2 linked regions of the Drosophila melanogaster genome follow. The protein of the gene in region 1 interacts with the protein of each later gene in a pairwise test. Each region holds a gene or a part of one and is shown on either strand. Other genes may lie near its edges. The genes, in order: Grip71 and kel.

Region 1 (7,416 bases):
CACATCTTCAAGGGGCAGATAGTATGGACGCGGACTTAGTCAGTGTCAAGCGGTCAGGCAATCAAGTTGAGCTCTCGCTCTCACTATAAATCGTAGCCGTGGGCCACTGCAGCCTAATTCAATTCAATTAAAATTAAAACGCAGATCTACGCGTTCGAGTGAAATTGCCCCAAATTTCCGACAATTATAGGCCACGCTCTCGTCAGTGATTCCGCGTCGACGTAGGCGGCAATAGCTGAATCCCGGTCATGCAATCGGACGCATCTCCCCTGGGAGCTGCTGCCACGGATTCCCTAACCATGCATCGCTCAACCTCCATGCCGGTGAAGCCCAAGCCACTGGAGCAGAAGCCACTGCTCCGTTCCTCCGAAAAGGAGACGGTCAATGCGTCCGATTACTATCCGGAGAGTCCGGGATTCGTACGGCGCAGAAGGTCAAAAGCAGCCGGCGATCACCTGGAAACACGCAGCGAGCAAAAGTGAGTTGAGTTTAGGCAAAAGAAATTACCAATCAGATAGTTGTTATAATGACTATGGATACTAAGAAACGAAAACCTTTATTTTCTATGAACTTTTCTGGTATTATAAAAACCCTACAAGTTTATATAAATAATAATATAAGTCCCACGTTTAGTTTCCCCTACGCACACGACTGGGCGGGCAGTACGATTGAGCTTACTCCAGATTTGGGATCCGGACCGCGGACTTCCTCCTCCGATGGACTGAGACGCAGCCTTAATCGCGTGATGGAAAAGAACGGCAAGGAGAACGTTGTGTTCCGCCGCATTCCGGAGAAGTCATGGCGCTACATGCGGGATCTGGTCACCACGCTGGTAAGATCCTGGTTCGGACACAGGAAAACGTCTACACCCAGGGCCGATCAATCGCGATCGGATGTGTATAGCATAACGCCCAGTATTCAGCGCAGACTCGATGAACTGGCCAATGAGCCACCGCACCTGAGTCCCCATTTTTCGAAGTCTAATCCTAACCAAAACGAGCGCGTCACGTTCAGCATATAGTTTGTAGTACATTGATCAAGCCATGACCGACTAAAATACTCACACATATTAATAAATACGTATTAACCAACCACATATTCACTTGCTAAATTGAAGGGATACACAGTAAAGATATTAAAATGGGTCGTATTTTCATTCATTGGTAATCCATAAAGGTCGTTTCTTTCCAATCGCGCAGATGGAACTGGAGTGGAAGTATATGCTGACCCTGTTCCTGGGCAGCTACTTCCTCAGCTGGCTGCTCTTCGCCGCCCTCTGCTACGTGGTGGCCTACTCGCACGGTGACTTCATCTTCGATCCGGTAAGTGGCAAGCGAATGGGCGAGGGCGTGGATCCCTGCATCTACGGGGTGCACAGCTGGGTGGCCATGATCATATACTCTGTGGAAACACAGACGACCCTCGGATTCGGCGAAAAATACGCCAGCGAGGAGTGTCCGGAGACGATCTTCCTGTTCGTCATGCAGATGTTGAGTGCGGCCCTAATCGAGGGCTGTATGGTGAGCGTGATCTATGCCAAGACCGCACGGCCGGCGAGGCAGCTGACCAAGCTGAAGTTCAGCGATAAGGCGGTGGTAAGTAAAATGCCTCCACTGGGCGAGAGGAGTACACCCAACCATTCGGATCCATCCTTTAGCGATTATCTCACGTAGATCTGTTATCGCGACGGCAGGCTTTGTTTGCTCTTCCGCGTCTGTGATCCCCGCGAGCAGCAGTCCATCGAGTCCAAGATACGAGTCTACATCATCGTGGACAAACGGTGAGTCACAGTCGCATTTTAGGGAAAATCATAGAACTTAAGAATCCGCGGTTAATTTGGGTATATTTTCCTATTTTGTCTTGATCTTCAACGTTTTTTTTTCAATATTTATAAATGCTATAGAAACAATTTAATCACACTTGACTCCTGAAATATTGACCCAGTCATAAGGAAAGTCATAAATGAACTGACCTTCCATTCAGATAGTACTTGCTGCTGGATAAAACAAGCAATTAATACGAACCCCCATCTTATCTATTTCTCTGACAGCACGCGCGAGGGTGAGACTATAAAAAGTCACGTGGAACTGAAGCTGGAGGGGAATGGGGAGCAGATTATTCTCTGGCCCGATGTGGTGTGCCATGTCATCGATGAGACCAGCCCGTTGTCTCAGTTCACCACAGCGAAACTCTTCAATGCTGCCCAATTTGAGTTGTATGTGTCCATTGTGGGCACTTCGCCTGCCACAGCGCAGATGACGGAGGCCAAGACGTCCTATCTGCCAAGGGAGATTTTCTGGGGCCAGCGGTTCGTCAATATCATCCATTACGACGCCCAAAACGAGCGCTACATTGTCGACTACGAGAACTTCAACAGGACCATATCGGTGGACATGCCCATGACGAATCCGAAAAATGATCACTTAAAGCTAGAGTACAGAAAGTGAAAAGGGTTTTAAAAAATACATTTTAAGAAGCTTTCTTATCGCATTACACTTTTGGCAGCACTATATTAATAACGAATTCAAAAACATTTTATAGACCGAGGTAAATATTCTAAAACATTTGTAAAATATCTAAATGGATCGATTAACGAATTAAAATTTACATAAAACTCATGAGACGCCAAAACCTATTTTGAAAAATGTTACTAATAGTTGATAATAACAATAAATTAAATACAATAATAACAATGTTTCAATTAATTATTAACATGTCTCCCCCTCGTTTTACTCTCCGCATGATTCAGTTTGCTCCTGCTCCTGGTAAAACTTCAATTTGGCCTTTAACATTTCGTTTTCATTTTGTAGGCGCGAGAACTCGCGCATGAAGCTATCTCCTTGAAGTAGTAAAGCCAGGGCGTCCCGGATCTCCCTTGTGTTTTCCACCTGCTGGTCCATGTAGTTGGTCATCTTATTAGCCAATAGCCGCTGATTAGAGAAGGTAACGTACTCCAATTCGCGCTCCACCTTCTCGCAGCGCTGGTCTACAAAATCTCTTAGCTCGCTGAATTCCTTGCGCCAATCTGCATCCATTTGGGCGGAAAGTCCGCTTGACGATTTGGCCAGCAACTGCTGAGGCTTCAAGAGAGGATTTGAGGATTGTGGTGTGATGTTAGCATGGTGCGGGGTACTGTTTCGACTGGCCGAAAGCAAGCGCAGACGGCGTTTCATTTCTGCGTCAACCGGCGGGGGATTCTCTTTGTCGCTGCCGCCTCCTGTGCTGCTGGCCACGGAAATGTTGGCAGACTGCTCCTCGCAGAGCTCGTCCGTCTCGGCAATCTTCATCAGCTTTCCGTCTCCGGAAATGTTGCTCCGATCCTTCAGTGGGCCGCTTAAGGTCTCTGCAAGTAATAAGCTTATTATAACTAAAAAATAATAATCTCTACAGTAACTTGCGTTGCAGTGACTCCGTGGTGGAGCTGTTGACGGAGTTATCCACCGAGCTTGGGCCAGACGCCACTGGAGGACAAAGACTTTGACGATTGGCAGTTTCATAAGGTTGCGGTTTTCGGTTGAGCGTCTCCCAGTCAAAACTATCTCTGTAAGAGGCGCCCAAGCGGGTCGACATGCGATCCACAGCTCTTGGACCTTGGGCATCCAGGAACTCGCAAAAGGAATCCCGGCGAACTATGGTAGGTGTTGACACCCCGTAACCAAGACTGGTCAGCTGGTTTTGGGTGCTCAACAAATTAGCGGCAATCGATTTACGCAACTCATCGCTGGGCGCACGCTCTACACGAGGAGCTTCGGTCGCCAAACCAGTTGCATTTTCGGAGCTGTTGAGGCTACCGTTCTGCTGGTTATCCCCACTTGGCACGGGCACAAAGGCTACACGTGTTACAGCCGCATCATGTACACTCCTCACGGCCAACGGAGCCTTTGTACTCCTCATATCATAGGCTATTAATTCGCCCTTAAGGTTTCCAGCACAAAGATAAGTGCCACATTCACTCAGCGCCACCGTCGATAGTGGATGCGAGTAGGTCAAGCGATCCGTAGAGGCCTGAGCACGATTTCGTCGAATGTCGAAGATATTTATCTTGCAATCGTAGCCCACGCTGACCAGCAGTGCCGGTTGGGATGTGCACATACTGATGTCCCGGCAGGGAGCACTGTGGGCTTCGCTGGCATGAAAAATCTTTCGCATTCCCTGCACATCATAGACAGTCACGGCTCCTTTATAGGAAGCGATCGACAGATGAAAGCGTTTGCTCGGATGAAAGCGCACAAGAGTAGAGCTGATATTAACAGGATAGCGAAAGATCAATGCAATCCTTTAACAAGCAAGCCTTTAACTTACTCGCCATCTATGGTGAAGGTGTTGGTCTTCTGTTTGGTCTTGGTACCCAAGATACTGATGTCCCCGCCATCGCGCACGGCGGCTATATACTCGTCCGTGTTGTTGTAGTCCATGTAGAGGACAGTACTCCTTTGCGGGTCCGCCGGAAAACGATGGATGAGCTGTGCCGTCCGAAAGTTGTATAGCTTAACACAACCGCTCTGACCCACAGCGATCTCTTCCAGGGATTGCTTGGCGCACGCCACACAGAAGGCATTGTCGATGGTGAGCTTACGGACTCGTTGAATCTCGGGCGCTGTGAAATGGGAAGTTAATTACATACGTGGGATTTGGGGATCCGCACCTCTCTCTTACTCTTGCCATCCTTCTCCTTTATTCGCATCACGGCCAAGCCCGCCATTTTATCCACCTCCACGAAGACCCGGCGTTGGCCGTTGAACTGAAAGTCCGTGGGCTCTGCGTTCTGGTGCACATACTCAGACTTTGTCTCCAGATCCGCGAAGTCGGAGAGCACGGTTTTTTTAGACGTGGAAATAACATGCATTTTGATTTATTTCTTCAGATATTTACACAATTCAAATTTGAGTGCTTTTGTTCGGACTGATTTAAGAATGTGCCCGCTGCTTTATTACCTGAAAATTCCAAAGCTCGTCCGTCGATTTTCCAAGTGATGTTAGACAAATATGCTGATTCCACTACACATTGTCCTTATCTAACACCTTTGAATTATATATCAATATTGCTTTTAATCTTTTTCTGTGTTTTACCACGCCAGGCATAGAGATCAAATAAATAATAAAAATAATTTTTTAAAAAGCGAACACAAATTGTTTGTTTGCCGCTGGATTTCGCAGTGAGAACGCGTCGGCCTGCGCGGTCACACTAGTCATTCACAACCAAATTCATCGGATCATTGGCAGAAAGGCAAGAAGAAGAGCAAGCAATCACCTGCGAAAAAGAAATAAATTGCCGAGAAATGTTAAAGACGTTGTAGTGCGGCAATTTGGCGTGCGTTGAAATGACTCCTGGCGACCAGTAGAAGCATTTAGTGACCACGCTACTCATCCCCCGTCCCCCGCCGCAGCGGCTGAGCCACTGGACAAAGGCCAGCTTACAACAAAAACAACACCAGGGAGACAGTCACGGGCCATTGGCACCCACACAAGCACACACACGCACGCACTGCGTAAAAGCAAACAACAACGATAACAACTGGGAACGGAGGCCTTCAACTGCAGGAAAGATGGAAGCTGATGGACTGACCAACGAACAGACGGAGAAGGTCCTCCAGTTCCAGGATCTCACCGGCATCGAGGATATGAACGTCTGCCGCGACGTCCTAATCAGACACCAATGGGATCTCGAGGTATGCATATGTTTATATGCCCACACAGTGAATGTCAAAATAACAGGGTCACGTAGTCTTGCAGTCTTGCATACAGTGGTGGCTGCAAGAATACTACTACCAACAAGTTTTGTACATATATATTATCTGACGACTAAAGATAGTAATCATTTTATTCTAAATTCTTTTTAAATTTGTTTTTTACAATTTTGCGTTGGGCGCCCTGCTATACTAAATACCAGCTTATTTACCCTTTTTCATATCTACATATGCAGGTGGCCTTCCAGGAGCAGCTAAATATCCGCGAGGGGCGTCCGACCATGTTCGCCGCCTCTACAGATGTCCGAGCGCCCGCTGTCCTTAACGATCGCTTCCTGCAGCAGGTGTTTTCCGCCAACATGCCTGGCGGAAGGACGGTTAGCCGGGTGCCCAGTGGCCCCGTTCCCCGCAGCTTCACCGGCATCATTGGATATGTGATTAACTTCGTGTTTCAGTACTTCTACTCCACGCTGACGAGCATCGTCAGTGCGTTTGTGAACCTGGGCGGAGGAAACGAAGCCCGCTTGGTGACAGATCCACTGGGGGATGTGATGAAGTTTATTAGGGAATACTACGAAAGGTATCCCGAGCACCCGGTCTTCTATCAGGGCACATATGCCCAGGCCCTTAACGATGCTAAGCAGGAGCTGCGTTTTCTAATCGTTTACCTGCACAAGGATCCCGCCAAGAACCCAGATGTGGAATCCTTCTGCCGCAACACACTGTCGGCGAGATCGGTCATTGACTACATTAACACACACACCCTGTTATGGGGATGCGACGTAGCCACGCCGGAGGGCTACCGGGTGATGCAGTCGATAACGGTGCGCAGCTACCCAACGATGGTGATGATCAGCCTTCGAGCAAATCGCATGATGATCGTCGGACGTTTCGAGGGGGATTGCACGCCCGAAGAGCTGCTCCGTCGCCTCCAGTCGGTGACGAACGCCAACGAGGTGTGGCTGAGTCAAGCGCGTGCAGATCGCTTAGAGCGGAATTTTACACAGACTTTAAGAAGACAGCAGGACGAGGCATACGAGCAGAGTTTGCTTGCGGACGAGGAGAAGGAGCGTCAGCGGCAAAGGGAGCGGGATGCCGTCCGGCAGGCGGAGGAGGCTGTGGAACAAGCTCGACGCGATGTCGAGCTTCGCAAGGAGGAGATTGCCCGGCAAAAGATCGAGCTGGCCACATTGGTGCCATCCGAGCCGGCAGCGGATGCTGTCGGCGCCATTGCAGTTGTATTCAAGCTGCCCAGTGGAACACGCCTAGAGCGCCGATTTAACCAGACGGATTCGGTGCTTGTAAGTTACACAAATTTAAACTGCTAATTTGGGATTGATGATTTGATGTTATTGCAGGACGTTTATCACTATCTCTTCTGCCATCCCGATTCGCCGGATGAGTTCGAGATCACAACGAATTTCCCGAAGCGCGTGCTCTTCTCGAAAGCGAACTTGGATGCCGCTGGGGAAACAGGCACAGCCAAGGAGACGCTGACCAAAACCCTTCAGGCCGTAGGACTCAAGAACCGCGAGGTGCTGTTCGTTAACGATCTGGAAGCGTAACCAAGCACCACCTACCAAATGAAAGCATCATCGTGTTACCAGCAGCAACGCATTACCAAAACTTGAACCAAGTTTTAAGTAGTCGTAGTCAACGTCCAAGTCGGAGGATAAATAGAGAAACTATTCCTAATTTAATCATGAACATTAATATTAATAATTGTTTAA
Region 2 (7,691 bases), 570 kb from region 1:
CCGGTCGGCTGAAGAGCTACCTTAAGGAGTATCACTACAAGCAGAAGCTGCGCGTCAAGCCCATCGACCAGAACACCCCGATGCCGTACTACGGCAATGTATAGCGGGAGGAGCAGCAGGTGGGCTTCACCTACTACGAGGACGTGGAGAGCGGCAGCGAGGTGGACGAGGACGACGACGAGGGGGTCAACATACGGGTCTCCTACGTTCAGCACGCCGAGGTGGTGGCCCAGCTGCAGCAGGTCACCACGGCGTCGGGCCCATCGGCTCCGTCCTCATCCAGATCGTCCAATCTTCAGGAGCACCTCAGCAGGCTGCCCAACCGCATGGCAGCCGCCTTTGGTCGGATGTCGGCCAATCTGAATTGCTACCAGAAGACTGTCGCCACGCCGGAGCGTCACTCCAACTCCTCCTGAGGATCAGGACGTGGACGGAGGGGCAAACAGAACCCAGAAACCAAAACTCAAACTGAGACAATCCCAGTGCAGCGTGTGCCGCCACCATAAGTTAAAAGATCAAACGCGAAGCCACATAACAAAATCGCTAGCTCGCTACTACAAGACTGTCATGGATCAAAAACCAAATGTTCACCATATATATCTCACCTATTGGAATGCAGCTCGGACGGATTTTTGAGTTGTGGCACTCTTGAAAGCGAGCTGGTAGAATGTAGAATCGAAATCGCAGTTAGCTAATTGTACTATAAACTAAGTATTATTATCTAAAGCAACCCTCTCTCCTACACACATAAGTATTGCAAAAAGAAGGGCCAATCGAGCTTTTCGTAATCGCTGGTATTCTTGTAATATTTCATTGTATTTATTTGAAGTATGGAATCTAAATGATGTGTTACTGTTACGTGTAAATACGAGATACGAATGCAGCTTAGTTAGTGTAAAACTCTCTCATTAGCCAAATTTCCAAATGTAATTTTCGCCTATTTATGAATATACTTTATTTATTTATTCGAAGTGATTTCGTTCGCAAGCGAGTGCTTTGTTTAAAAAGAAAAAACCCGTCAGTTGTACACGTGTAGAGCATTTGTAAATACTACCGATTTTCGCATTAAGCTGTAGCTATATTAATATAATGAATTATAAATCATGTATTCCTACCTAGGTGGTTGCTGTTATTCGTAAACATTCAATAAGCAGTTGTTTCCAATACCTATTTAATGTATTTTACATATCTCACATGTTGATGAGCATGCGTATCAATATTCAAAAACAAAATCGAAAAAAGAGTCAAACAAATAAAGTTGATCAAGATATTAGAAAAAATCTCAAAGTGTGTTTTGAATCAGAAGTGTGGAATCATAATCAACCCAAATGATTGATGTATTTTAATATCTTTAACAAATGAATGTTTAACTCATTCGTTATTTTCATTATAAAGTCGTGAATTCTTTATAAAATGAGAGTAATCAACTAAAATCTATAGATTTCTATTTATTTTATTTTATATCTATAAAATATCTATAGATATTCTATCAAGATTATGCTGAACTAAACCTTTTTTACTTTCTTTTATGGAATTCGAATATGCAATCTTAATGAATTCTGTGTCGCATATTTGTAATCTTTTTGCAATTTTATTTATATATTTTTATAAGATGAATTAGGTATGCTTTTTTTAAGTTTAGGTAAATGTGGAATATTAGTTTGTATATCAATTTAAAAATCACACTTTTTGAAACGTACGTATAAATAAAAATTAAAGGGGAGAGGTCATATTTAAGATGTAATTCAAGTGAATTACAAAAATTCAAAAATTAAATGACTTTATCATTAATTTTATAGTTGGAAACAAAGCCAGCTCAGTGAGAACTGGTTGAAAATGCCTATCGGACTATCGATGAGTATTCATCGCTAGTGGTAACTTGCGACCAACCCGAGGCTGGTCACACTGCTCTGGTCGCGTCCAAAAAGTGTACAATTTTTCACCACCTCGGTTTGTTTTTTCGGACCAGGCGAGGCACCTTCGATTCGCTGCGACTTCCGTTTCCGATCCGTTTCGGATGATAGCTCTGAGTGCGCTGCTAACCAAATATACGATCGGTATTATGAGCAACCTAAGCAATGGCAACAGCAACAACAACAACCAGCAGCAGCAGCAACAACAACAGGGTCAGAACCCACAACAACCAGCACAGAATGAAGGCGGAGCGGGAGCGGAGTTCGTGGCGCCACCGCCCGGACTAGGTGCCGCAGTGGGCGTGGCAGCCATGCAGCAGCGCAACCGCCTGCTGCAGCAGCAACAGCAGCAGCACCACCACCATCAGAATCCCGCCGCCGAGGGAAGTGGCCTGGAGCGGGGCAGCTGCCTTCTGCGCTACGCCAGCCAGAACTCCCTGGACGAGAGCTCCCAGAAGCACGTCCAGCGGCCAAATGGCAAGGAGCGCGGCACTGTGGGGCAGTACAGCAATGAACAGCATACGGCGCGCTCCTTCGACGCCATGAACGAGATGAGAAAGTAAGGATGGCACGAGATCCTGTCGAAGGATCAGTTCGTACGACTATAAAATTTGGTTAAGTCCTTAAGCATCATAAAGAAGTAGCCAGGGTTTCTAAAGACCTTAAGGCAGTATATTTAGATCCACAAATAGTATTATATCCTAATTCCTACCTGTGAGAGGTTTTAAAAACCTTAGGTAGAACATTGGTTATTTTGTACCTGCCCTGGAGAATAGAACACACAGCACCCACATAGGACTTTTAATGATATGCAGAATTAGATCTATGTGATTTTATAGCCTGATTATGTAAATAAGCACACCTACAACGGTTCGAAAAATGTTTCAAATGTCATTTGTTTGCTCAACAGCAAACCAGCTGAACGTTCGTTCAGGTTCTAAAAAGGTGTCAGCTATTTCCCAGTTACTATTTCCTTGACAAAACAAGCTGATCTGAGTTTCTACCACTAAAACTTTCAGTTGTTAAATATGACGACCTACCTCAACTTAATATAAATAGAACTGTGCTAACTACACTCTATTATAAACTCATCTCCTCTGTTCCCGGACAAAGGCGCATGATTCAATCCCTGCGTGTTCGACGGGAACAGGTGGACCGACTGGCTCTCGAGCTTTGAGATTTGGGCCAAGATGCGAAAATAAAATCTCTGAAAATGTCAGATGATCGTCTCTCGCATATTTGCGCAGTTCGCTTTGTTTATCTGGCCGTTGCTAATATTTGTGTTTGCACACTACATATGTATAAACGAATATTTGCCGCCGCTTTTGTCGTGGGGCCATTCGCATTAATTATTGTCTAGTTTTTATTATGATGAGTTGCTTACGCCTTCGGGTTTCGCATTGGGCCACGACCTTGAACTTGGTTGCGGCCAAAAATGATATTCGTTTTCGAATCGCATTTCGATTCCGCTTCCGCGTCTCCGCCTTTGCTTACTTTTTGGAAAACTACTGGGCGTATGGAAAATTTATTGGTAGCTTACATAAAACGAGTTTTTTTTTTCGGACCAATCATATCGTATTCGGCGCGAAAGTGAATGTGGTATAACCCAAAAAGTAAGCCGAGCGTTGTAATGTGGATTGCTTTTTGATTGGGAATTGAATCACACAAATATTTCGTGAGGTGTATATTCTATGAGATTTTTTTTATTGGGTTATAATTATAACACCTTACGATTTTGAAGACAAAAGATCTTAGTCTTTTCGAGTAGTCATCATCATTTAATGGCGCCATAATTTGCACAGTTAATAGCATCCCCGTCTCTTTTTACAAAACAAAATATTTTCCTCTTGAAAAAATTCAAGCACTTTTGTTTACAAACATACATACCAGCCTTGAAGATATTTAGCACGCTTTTAAACTGTTTATTTGGCAATCAAAACGATCTATTGCTAGTGGATTTCAAAGTCTCAATATTGTCGATACATGACGGTTACTAACCAATTTACTGCGTACAAAAAAATGTATCAAATCTGATATATATATATTTTTACCTATAACAGACAAAAACAGCTCTGTGATGTGATATTGGTGGCCGACGATGTGGAGATCCACGCTCACCGCATGGTGCTGGCCTCCTGCAGTCCGTACTTCTATGCGATGTTCACCAGTTTCGAGGAGTCGCGGCAGGCGAGGATCACCCTCCAGAGTGTCGATGCTCGGGCCTTGGAGCTGCTCATCGACTACGTATACACTGCCACGGTGGAGGTAAACGAGGATAACGTGCAAGTCCTCTTGACCGCCGCCAACCTGCTCCAGCTCACGGATGTGCGAGATGCCTGCTGCGACTTCCTGCAAACTCAGTTGGATGCCAGTAATTGCCTCGGCATCCGGGAGTTTGCCGATATTCATGCCTGCGTGGAACTTCTCAATTACGCAGAGACCTACATCGAGCAGCATTTCAAGTAAGTGGCTAGATTGTGATGACGCAGTATGGGCAGACAAATATAAAATTGTTTTGATTTGCCTGTTTACAGATAGGAATCCATTACTGTATCTGTTCAGTGTTCACTTTTAGAGCATGTATATTGGGAAGACTCACTTTAGTTTGTTCTATATCTACGGATAGTAATTCGTATTTAAATTCCAGTGAAGTGACTATTTATTTATTATTTATTGAGGATAGAAAGCTGCCGTACAACAATATCAATTGAATCGATTAATGGGATCAGATATTTTAATAATTATAGTAACATTTAATAACATGTGTCAAGTTAAAGTTCCTTAGACTCAACAAAAAGGATTTTTAATTATATTATAAAAACGATTAAATTCCTAGGTGTGTTTGGAATGTATCAAAATTTAAATAGTTTAACAGTCACGCATTGGTGTCTTCCAGCATCTGTTTGAAGTCGCTAATTTTGGGTTTCCATAAGATCACGAATTTAATCTTATATTAATTATATTTTCGAATTCAACTACTGAATTAGTAATAACCAAAGTATCAGAATTATATAAGTTCTCATTGATTTCATCAGGCAGAAACAAAATTAGTTAATTATTAAGTTTATATAACAGTAAACAGACGCAAAACCGAAAGCAAATGTGCAATATAAACCATTGAACCGGTTGCGATTAATTAAATTTACTTAGCCCACTCCTCTCATTCCTTGCGCCCCATTACTAACTGCTTGTGTTTGGTTTATTTGCAGCGAGGTGATCCAGTTCGATGAGTTTCTGAACCTCTCGCACGAGCAGGTCATCAGCCTGATTGGCAACGACCGGATTTCGGTTCCAAATGAGGAGCGCGTATACGAGTGCGTCATCGCCTGGCTGCGCTACGATGTTCCTATGCGGGAACAGTTCACCTCGTTGCTCATGGAGCATGTGCGTCTGCCGTTCCTGTCCAAGGAGTACATCACACAACGTGTGGACAAGGAGATCCTCCTCGAGGGCAATATCGTGTGCAAGAATCTCATCATTGAGGCATTGACCTATCATCTACTGCCCACTGAGACAAAGTCCGCTAGAACGGTGCCCAGGAAGCCGGTGGGCATGCCCAAGATACTGCTCGTTATTGGAGGACAAGCACCCAAGGCTATACGATCGGTGGAGTGGTATGATCTGCGAGAGGAAAAGTGGTACCAGGCCGCCGAAATGCCCAACCGCAGATGCCGCTCCGGCTTAAGTGTCCTGGGTGACAAAGTCTATGCTGTCGGAGGTTTCAATGGATCACTGCGTGTGCGCACCGTAGATGTCTACGATCCTGCCACGGATCAGTGGGCAAACTGCAGCAACATGGAGGCCAGACGATCTACCCTGGGAGTAGCTGTCCTCAATGGTTGCATATACGCCGTGGGTGGATTCGATGGCACTACGGGTCTGTCGAGTGCCGAGATGTATGATCCCAAGACTGACATCTGGCGGTTTATCGCCTCCATGTCCACGCGTCGCAGTTCTGTGGGCGTAGGCGTCGTCCACGGACTTCTTTATGCCGTGGGCGGTTACGATGGCTTCACTCGTCAGTGCTTATCTTCAGTGGAGCGCTATAATCCGGACACGGACACATGGGTTAATGTGGCGGAAATGAGTTCGCGGAGGAGTGGCGCCGGAGTGGGAGTGCTGAACAATATCCTTTATGCCGTTGGCGGTCACGATGGTCCCATGGTCAGAAGATCTGTTGAAGCCTACGATTGTGAAACGAACTCCTGGCGTTCAGTGGCAGACATGTCATATTGCCGGCGAAATGCGGGAGTGGTGGCTCATGATGGCCTGCTGTATGTGGTCGGTGGCGATGATGGCACCTCAAATCTAGCTTCTGTGGAGGTCTACTGCCCGGACTCGGACAGTTGGAGAATACTGCCTGCTTTGATGACCATCGGACGCAGCTATGCGGGCGTGTGTATGATCGACAAGCCCATGTGAATGGAAGAGCAGGGTGCATTGGCCCGGTAAGTCAATGGAAGCATTGTTACCAAAACAAATTATAATAATCTCTCTTGTTTCTTTTCAGCCAAGCTGCTTCGTTGGCCATCGCACTGCTGGATGATGAGAATAGCCAGGCGGAGGGCACGATGGAGGGCGCCATTGGTGGTGCCATCTACGGTAATCTGGCGCCGGCTGGTGGGGCTGCAGCGGCTGCAGCTCCAGCTGCGCCGGCTCAAGCTCCCCAGCCAAATCATCCGCACTACGAGAACATCTACGCGCCAATTGGACAGCCCAGCAACAACAACAATAACAGCGGCAGCAACAGCAACCAAGCTGCAGCCATCGCCAATGCCAATGCCCCTGCAAATGCCGAGGAAATTCAGCAACAACAACAACCAGCTCCCACTGAACCTAATGCCAACAATAATCCGCAACCGCCAACAGCAGCAGCTCCAGCACCATCACAACAACAACAACAACAGCAAGCACAGCCACAACAACCTCAACGCATACTGCCCATGAATAACTATAGGAATGATTTGTATGATCGATCTGCCGCCGGCGGAGTCTGCTCCGCCTATGATGTTCCGAGAGCCGTGAGATCTGGCCTTGGTTACAGACGCAACTTTAGGATTGATATGCAGAATGGTGAGATTAAGAATAATATTAAGCAGAAGACAGTTACACTAGCTTGATTCGTACTTTTAAGTATGAAGTGCTCAAAAGTTGTCTTTCAATTAACCTCTTTTTGAACGGTTGCTTGTGCTATATAACTTTGTACGTATCGGTTTGCCTTCATTTTCGTGAATATTTTAAGCAAACAGCCTTTTTAAATGTTGTGAGGTAGGAAGCAAAAACCATTTAAACTTCAAAACAAACACGAAGTTCAAATCAATTATTAGTTCTTAACGGCCCACATTTAAATCAGCATTTAAACGCATAGTTTCTAACTTTTCGTATAACAAATGAATTTTCATTAATCGCTATATTTTCCACTCTAGGAAATCGATGTGGAAGCGGTCTTCGTTGTACTCCACTTTATACGAACAGTCGATCCAATTGTCAACGCCAGCGCAGTTTTGACGACACTGAGTCCACGGACGGCTACAATTTGCCTTACGCCGGAGCGGGAACAATGCGATACGAGAACATCTATGAGCAGATTCGAGATGAGCCACTTTACCGCACATCCGCTGCGAATCGAGTTCCGCTCTATACACGTCTCGATGTTTTGGGTCATGGAATCGGAAGAATTGAAAGGCACCTTAGCTCGTCATGCGGCAACATCGATCACTATAACTTGGGCGGACATTACGCGGTATTGGGACACTCGCACTTCGGAACCGTGGGACA

Evidence for each region.
Region 2: the proteins of Grip71 (region 1) and kel interact in a two-hybrid assay, tested with the Drosophila melanogaster proteins (2 studies listed by BioGRID).

What each region holds. Positions count from the first base shown.
Region 1 is NT_033779.5:18,706,368-18,713,783, reverse strand, and holds Grip71 (Grip71), read right to left. Parts: upstream 4,939-7,416; 5' UTR 4,847-4,938; coding exon 4,657-4,846; intron 4,598-4,656; coding exon 4,303-4,597; intron 4,241-4,302; coding exon 3,399-4,240; intron 3,344-3,398; coding exon 2,730-3,343; 3' UTR 2,487-2,729; downstream 1-2,486. Other genes in the region: Irk3 (inwardly rectifying potassium channel 3), read left to right, coding at 249-478, 622-832, 1,200-1,595, 1,674-1,780, 2,051-2,447; Faf2 (Fas-associated factor 2), read left to right, coding at 5,546-5,668, 5,923-6,987, 7,045-7,251.
Region 2 is NT_033779.5:18,132,258-18,139,948, reverse strand, and holds the start of kel (kelch), read left to right. Parts: upstream 1-1,865; 5' UTR 1,866-2,017; coding exon 2,018-2,472; intron 2,473-3,973; coding exon 3,974-4,375; intron 4,376-5,122; coding exon 5,123-6,335; coding exon of another isoform or gene 6,336-6,361; intron 6,362-6,423; coding exon of another isoform or gene 6,424-6,986; intron 6,987-7,339; coding exon of another isoform or gene 7,340-7,691. Other genes in the region: Socs36E (suppressor of cytokine signaling at 36E), read left to right, coding at 1-104. UniProt on the Drosophila melanogaster protein: Component of ring canals that regulates the flow of cytoplasm between cells. May be involved in the regulation of cytoplasm flow from nurse cells to the oocyte during oogenesis. Binds actin.